Linked DNA regions of Notamacropus eugenii. The protein of the gene in region 2 interacts with the protein of the main gene of each other region in a pairwise test. Links are inferred from orthologs where the notes say so. Each region holds a gene or a part of one and is shown on either strand. Other genes may lie near its edges.

The links.
Region 1: the proteins of GRB7 (region 2) and LAX1 interact in binary tests that used the Homo sapiens proteins (3 or more experiments, as listed by UniProt). The two-hybrid records come from large-scale screens. The link is inferred for Notamacropus eugenii from reciprocal best matches to the Homo sapiens genes GRB7 and LAX1.

The regions. Positions count from the first base shown.
Region 1 is NC_092873.1:436,194,515-436,198,430, forward strand, and holds the start of LAX1 (lymphocyte transmembrane adapter 1), read right to left. Parts: upstream 3,012-3,916; 5' UTR 2,684-3,011; intron 2,669-2,683; exon of another isoform or gene 971-2,668; intron 158-970; 5' UTR 132-157; coding exon 43-131; intron 1-42. UniProt on the Homo sapiens protein: Negatively regulates TCR (T-cell antigen receptor)-mediated signaling in T-cells and BCR (B-cell antigen receptor)-mediated signaling in B-cells.
Region 2 is NC_092873.1:355,269,653-355,273,568, forward strand, and holds the start of GRB7 (growth factor receptor-bound protein 7), read left to right. Parts: upstream 1-1,708; 5' UTR 1,709-1,782; intron 1,783-2,032; 5' UTR 2,033-2,046; coding exon 2,047-2,071; intron 2,072-3,916. UniProt on the Homo sapiens protein: Adapter protein that interacts with the cytoplasmic domain of numerous receptor kinases and modulates down-stream signaling. Promotes activation of down-stream protein kinases, including STAT3, AKT1, MAPK1 and/or MAPK3. Promotes activation of HRAS.

The DNA.
Region 1 (3,916 bases), about 81 Mb from region 2:
CTAGGTTAGCACATTAAAGTGAGTCTTGAAGGGAACACTCACCCATGAGGGCTACTGACAGTTTGGGGGATCGTGGTGTATTCCGTAGTCTTCTCTTTGTTCCTGGAGAAAGGAGGTTTCACTGTTCCCATTGTGGGTTAAATTGCTAAATGAACGTCTGGGTTGGAAAAAATAGATCACATTTTAGTTCTAGGTCCACTCTCTCCCAAATTACCGTATTCTTCTCTGCTATTGATTTCTCAGAATAGTTTGCTCTTTAATGCAGAAAGCCTTTTGAGTTGTTGATTCCCCAGAGCAAAAGTGAATTTGTCTGTTATTTGTATCCAATTATGATGAATCTAATTAGCTTATTACCACTTAATACTAAATTACATTGCAATTCTCCTGGTATCTAGGGCCTTTTCTTTTAAGGACTCCCCAATTCCTTTTTCTTTCCTTTTGGGATCCTCCAATTTGATTTTTTAAAAATCAGACTCACAGGATTAGAGGATCTAGAGAGACCTTACAAATCATCTAGTTTAACTCCTTCATTTTGCAGGCCAGAGACCCAGAGCAGAGAAGCAATTTGCCCAAAGCTCCAACGTGGTTTAGTGGAGAGGACAATGAACTTGGAATCAGGAAAATCTGGATTCAAGCTCATGACACTTACTAATACTAGCAGTGATCCTTCATCATTCACCTCCCTATTGCCTCATTTCCCTCCTTTACAAAACCAAGGAGTCAGACTCCATGACCTTTAAGGTCCCTTTTAGCTTTAAATCTTTGATGCTGAGTTGAAGGGACAAATTTCAAACCTATGTTCTCCTCCTCCCAGTCCAGTTCACTTTCCATTGTAATATGCTGCCTCTCCCACAAAGAAATCACCCTTTTTTTCCCATTCCTTTCTTTGAGCTTTCCTGATCCTATCCTCCTTCTTTCCTCAACAAACGCCCAGTCCTTGCTATATCTGTCTTAGGCTGGTTGGCCTCACCTGCACAAGCTAGTTGAACTCCTCCTATGTGCATCCACTCTACGCTGTAACCTGTGACCTTCCTCTGGATCCAGAAGTGGTTTAGAGGCCACTTTGTGATCTTTGCTTCCTTGTGGGTGGGCTTGTGGGAGAAGAGTGTGGTACGTGAAGCACTGAGTGAGGGAGAGATGGCCAAGTGATAGAGAGGAAGCCCTGCTAAGAAGTAGAGCCTCCCTGTGCTGTTAGAAGGTAGCTGGCAGCTTTACCAGAGTGGAAACAGAGAGTCAGCGGCAGGAAACATCAGTTCCAATGTGCTGATGTAGCAAGGGGCACAGGAAGCGGTGATTGGTTTTTAATGTGATAGAATAACAAATATTTTCAGTGCTTACTCTGTACTTAACATTTCCCTGGGTTTGTCTGGAATAGGAAGAGGGGAATGAATGACTTTGGGCCCTGGCATGGGAAGGGTGCATTACTCTTCCTGGATTTCCGAGACACAGTGAGATCAGTTAACTCACAGTTGGATTTCTTTTTTTCTCAGGAATGAAGAAGATGGAAGAACTCACAAAGGTTGTTTAGTCTCTCTGCTTTTCTCTATAAATAGCTTTCTTTACATTTACATGTCTCCCCTGGTAAGATGTGAGCTCTTTGAGGGCAGAGACTGCTTTACTTCTGTCTTTGTATCTGGCACAGAGCTTGCTTCGTAAATGCTTGCTGATTGACACTTGCTAAGGGATAAGGGATTTCTCCTGTTCTTAACAGTTTCCGAGGTGGTTAACATGGTTTTGCCCCTTGGGTGTCATGCCCTATATGCCTGAGAGTCTGAAAATATTTGCCAATGTGTCTGATTTGAATGAAGATTCCCTTACTGGCTGACCTTCATAGACATCTCACAGTAGTGACCCAAGGTCACATGGGTATCTCTTGACTAACAATCACTTTTGCCTCTGACTCTTTCCTTTTTTTTTCTAAACCAACTTAAAACCTCCTTGCTCTGTCCTCTGTGTGCCCCACCCCAGCAGTCATTTTTATGTGCCAACCCACAGGTAGTGTAGTGAAGTGGACAGCAAGCTGGCCTTGAAGACAGAAAGACCCACATCTAACACATTGGACTGTAAGTTGCAGAGAAATTGTTGCTTGTCATTGTTAGAGGGAGTTTTCTCATCCATGGAGTCCCCAATATCACAGTTCTTAATCCTTATTTGACATCCTGTTTCCTTAATAAGAGCAGCCCCAGACTCTGGTGACTTCTAAAAAAGCTCTGAAAGCATCTTGTACATTTGCTTAGATCTACTTCACTCCATAATCCCTCCTCCCTTATTGGGAAAGGTCCTCGGGTAGAGGATGGAGGTAGAAATGTTGACAACTGGTACTAAATTTCACCATCTTCAGGGAGAATTGCCATTTTGCTGCCTGGAACAAGATCCTTCTGGCTTCTCTTCACCCATTCCCCAAGACTCCTTTCCCTTCCCAGAGAAATGGATATAAACAGAATACAGTGGTTCACTTACCATGATGTCCCTCCTTCACTGTATGCATTCAATTAAATCTTCCACTTACAAATTCAACTCTCAATTATTACATATCCTCCCTCCCACAGGGAGTTAATATGCTGTCTATTTCAGTTCCATAAATCCCTTCTAACTCCCCCACTGTCCCATTTTGACAGTGACACCCACATGCTTGATTCTGGCCACCCCATCCATTTTCTCACTCCCCAAAAAGCCATCTTACCCAGTAGGAAGCAGAAAGGGAAGGTGAAACTGGCAGGAATTCCATTCACCCAACAGACCAGCTCTAGGTCATAACCTGTCCCTTGGCTGGCTTCTTCCTTTGACTTGGAGTTCTAGCACCTCATAAGGAAAAGCCCTCAAAGCACCCGGGATGCTGGAGCAGGTGAGAGGAGACTTGATGAAGGAAGAGAGAGACTCTTTCAGTACAGACTTGAGCCCTGAGCCCATACAGAAAGCGTACAATGAAGGAGAAGGGAACATGGGAGTAGGATTGGAAATAGAACATTGAGAGAACATTTACTGCATTGCATCCTCCTCACTTGAGAAGTATGTCTGTTGTGGGATTGTTTTTTAAGGCTTTCCTGGGTGGGGGGTGTCTATGTGTGTGGGTGTGAATCTTTCAGAGGCTTGCCCCTCCTACCACTGTGTCTCTTACCTCCTACTTGCCTGCTTCCTCCATTCTAATCTGACCAATAGTCACATTCTCCCTTCTAATTATTTTTCCTCCTTTGGAACTCCCACAATACCTTTTTTTCTCATCCTACTTGTGCACATATCCCACTGTCTCTTGTGTCATCCTCAACTAGATTGTGGGCATCGTGAGGTATTCATCTTCTTGTCTTTTAGGTTCCACTGTTTGCAGGTAGTAGATAAAGAGGGGGTATGGCATTAGAGATAGACTGCTGGCTTTGGAGTCAGAAAGACCTAGTTTAAATCTCCCTTGTGACACTTCCTGACTGTGTGACTTTGAGCAAGTTATTTGACTTTTCTGAGCCTGTTTTTTCATCTGTAAAATGGGGTTAAGATTACCTACTTTACAAAATGGTTGAAAGCATCAACTTAGGAAATGTAAGTCAAGTGCCTTTCAAACTTCGTATGTATATATATATATATATGTATATATATATATGTATATATATGTGTGTGTGTGTGTATAAAGATGCATAAAAATAAACTATTAATAAATAAAAGTGCTATGTAAATGTTGGCAATTAATAAATAGTTGCTTTCTCTCCTCCCTCCTCTCCTTTCACACATATCATAATTAAAGTGGTATAACATCCCCAAAGCAGGGTGCAAAGCAGAGATTCCACTACTATGACTTCTTTTACTTCCTCCTCCTCCCATACAGACATACCCCATTTGACATCATTAATTGGCTCTACAAAAATTACATTTTTGGTAGGATGATGTTGCAAGAAGCACTTCAATCCAAAGGAACCATGTTGTAATT
Region 2 (3,916 bases):
ATGAGTGGGAAATCAGAATTACCAAATAGCCAGCTCTAAGCGCTTTAGTCATGATAGTGTTTTCATTTTATAGTGAGCACATAGTAGGTGCTGAATTAATGCTTGTTGACCTGGATGGAGAGGATTCTGTGGGCTGGTAGGATATATATATATTAACCCACTATCTATCTATCTATCTATCTATCTATCTCTCTATCTCTCTATCTCTCTATCTCTCTATCTCTCTATCTCTATCTATCTATAGATATGTAGTGGGTTAATTTAGAGGTCGAAGGGACCTCTCAGAGACTATCTAGTAGAATTCCCCCATTTTTGTAATAAGCACATAGTAGGTGCTAAATTAATGCTTGTTGAGTTGGATGAGAGAGATTCTGGGGGTTAATTGGATATACATATGTTGGATCACAGATTTAAAGATGGGAAGGACCTCAGAGGCTATTTAATCCACTTCCTCCATTTTACAGATGAGGAAACTGAAGGCCAGATGAAGTGACTTGCCCAAAGCCATTTAGCCAGAAAGTAGCACAGCCAAGATTGAACCCAAAGCCCTGATTCCAAATACATTGGTTTTTTCTATTTTAAATACATTGTCTCCGAAGGAGCTCATTCTTGTTAACACTTAGCTGGCAGAACCAGCCCTGGTTTCATCTTTCAGATCCTGGGAAGCTCACCTCACCTGGCCCCACAATTATCATTATCACATTCCCTTCCCACACTGGTCAATGACTCCAATTGTCATACTCTAGAGATGGCTTCTAGTATTATACCTAACTCACTTAAAGATCCGTCTCAGGGAGGTTGATGGAGCTATAGGGGGTCAGCGTCCATTTTAATAGAATGTCAGAGATGGACAGGGCCTTTGGGATCACCAAGTCTAACAAGCGAACTGAGGGACCTGGATCCTGTGATTTCCAGCCATAGCTGGGAGTAGAATCCAGGGCTTTGAGGAGGGAGAAAAAAATACATTTATTAAGTACCTCTGTGCCCCAAATTGTGTTGATCTTCACAACTCTTCGAGGTAGGTGCTGTTATTATTTTCCTTTTAAAACTGAGGAAGCTGAGGCAGACAGAAGTTAAATGACTTGCCTGTGGTCACACAGGTAAGTGAGGCTAGGTCTGAACTTAGTGCTTCCTGACCCCGGGGCCCACAGCCCTATCCACTGCACCAGGGAGGACCAAGCATAGATGGCTCTGGAAAGTCAAAGTGGGGATCAAGGGCTGAATAGACCTAGAGAGTCAGGCACCTCCTAGACATGAAACCAGAATCTGCCCTCTGCCCCAGGGGTGGGGATGGTGGAGGGTGGCACCCATGCCCCAGACCATGCCCCCTGTTGGTTGGTTGGTTGTTCCCTCCCCCTTCTTCTTGGGAGCTGAAACCTTAGTGTCCCCTCTAGTGTGAATGGGATCTGCTGGCTGCTCTGGACACCTGGGCCCCTCCCCTGTTCCCTCCCCCCACCTCCTTGGACACCTAGGTCCCAAAGGCCTGGATAATAATAGCACAAACACTCCCCACCCTAGTGGCCGGAGGAGTATTCTCTTGTTTTTCTCCTCCCTCCTTCCTCCAGGCCCCGCCTCCACCTTTCCAATCCCAGTCACTTTACCGCCTCTCCAGCCTTGCCTCCCGGTTCTACCACCTCTCTACTCCCCTCCCCCGTCCTAGCACATTTTCTGGAAAGAGAAACTCAGGAATCTGACCCTGGTGTCCTGGACCCTCGGCTGTCACCAGACAGAGCCGGACGTTGGACCCTAGGCATTTGAGCCTCTCATACTGGGGCTTCCCAGGTAGGAAGAGAAATATCCAAGAAAACAACCTCCACTCACCCTTATCCTCAGTATCTTTGTAGCTGCTGTCTGTGCCAGGGCCCCTTACAGGTGGACTTGATGTCTAGTGGGCAGTGTCGTAACCCCAGCCCCGTTCCCATGATGGCAGGTGGAACCTATGAAGGTTGGAGGGCTAAGGAACCTGCAAAGGGTACTGGGGTGGCGGGGAGACACAGGTGGATAAAGGCAAGGTATGTCCCTCCCCAAACAGATGGCCCCAGCCAGATGTGTAGCAGCACCCAGGGTCCAGGTAAGGGCCGAGCTCGGCAGCTTTTCCTGTCTCTTCCGACATACCTGGGGACGCCCTCCTGCCCAGATCCTTCCTTCTTTGTTTCCGGCCTGCCTGTGTTTTCTTCTTTCACCTGCTTCTCCCCTCTTTCCATGACCTCCTTTGGGTCCTCTGTGACTCCTCCATTGCTAAAGGTCTCTTCTGTTTCTCTGTGGGGAGAATATTTGCCAGCATTGTGTCAGCTGAAGGGTGGCGGCAATAGGGAATCTTTTCTCATTTGGATGATTTCTGCTTCCCCTGGACAGCCCTCCCCCTTCCCTTCCTAAAAGGGAGATGGGGGTTGGAGGGAGGCATTAATTGGAGGCTCAGTGTCACAGTAAGCCCCCATTCCTGTTCATCTCTGCAAAGCTACTGTGAGCTTGCCCTGATTGGGATGCCCTAAGATTTGTCTAGAAAGGGGTCTATCTGGGCTTCTTGAAAACTTCATTTGGGGGATCAGTAAAATGATTAGGGCACACTGAATTAGGATTAGTTTTGGGAGGAGGGAATTAATTGTTCCTTCTTTCTCCCTAACTTTCCTTTCATTGCAGATGGGCTCAACACTGGTCCCCACCTTCCAGCTCCCCAGCAAAAGAGCTTAAATCTCAAGGATCTTGTTAACTGGGTTCTAGCTGTGTCAAAGAATGTGGGTGGAGGACAAGGGAAACTCAGCAGTGATACCCCAGTTTCAGGGCAGCTTTGCTGGGAGCCTATCCACCTCAGTCCACCAAGCAATGAAAGGAAAGTTGGGGAGAAAGAAGGAAATTATGAGGTTGGATGTCTGGGTCCCCGTGCTAGAGACTGGAGAATGGAGAGATGGGGGTCCTACTGCTTCATTTCCCACTGTAGGATGAGGTAGGAGAGCTCTCTGTACTCTGAAAAGGATGCAGGATAGTTGGATTCCATTCTTGCTATACATTCTTCTCCTCATGGGGAATTTCAATTTTACTTCCCTAGTGCAGCTTTAATAAAGACTGGGGATAAGAAATCTGTTACTTTTGGACTCTGCTTCCCTCCCCCCCCAAATCAGCTTAGGGGAGATGGGAGCTCTACCCCCCTATCCCCCGGGTAAATAACCAATAATGATTAACCCTAATCAAATTTTGGCCACTTTTGCATATTTTCCAAATTAAACTTTAAAAGAAATCCTCCCCCTTTCAGAGGCAGACACACCTTTGTTGTGAATATCTTCTTGTGGGTAGGTTGAACCTCAGTTTCCTGGTATCTTCCTACCTGATGCAAAGGTCACGGAAGATGTCATCCTGGGTTTCTATATTGTTTACCAGTGATCTCCCAAAGTTGCACCTCAAAGATTCCCCCTTTTCTTCCCAAATTTCATTTAAAGGGAGAATCTGGGATTCTTACTCCAAGGGGGAGATTCATTCCCCGCAAATGGGGATGCAGGGACTACCTCAGCCTATGGAGAGAAGGGAGGACCTCTACCAAATAACCTCTGGACCCTTTTCCATTGTCCAATCCTACTTCTTCAACCTTTACATAATTTTTTCCAATCTTTCCCCTGCCCTACAAAACTCCCAGTGTCTCCCAGACCTCCAGTGCCTCACTGAGAGTTTTCAAGACTGTGATGTTTAGAGTAGGACTTAGAATATTTAATATTGTGGTCCCTGACCCTCAGACTTTCCTCTCCCAGCTTTTGCTAGCCAGGTGGGGCAAGTTTCAGGAAGTAAACAAGGAGGCTGGGGAGAGAAAGGGGGTGGAGAAGAGAGCTTCCGGGGAACTTGGGGTGGGAGGGAAATACTTTTGAGGTGCGGAGAGCTTTGGCGGAGTATGAGCTTCTTTGGAGTACGGAAGTCTGGGGATGCCTGA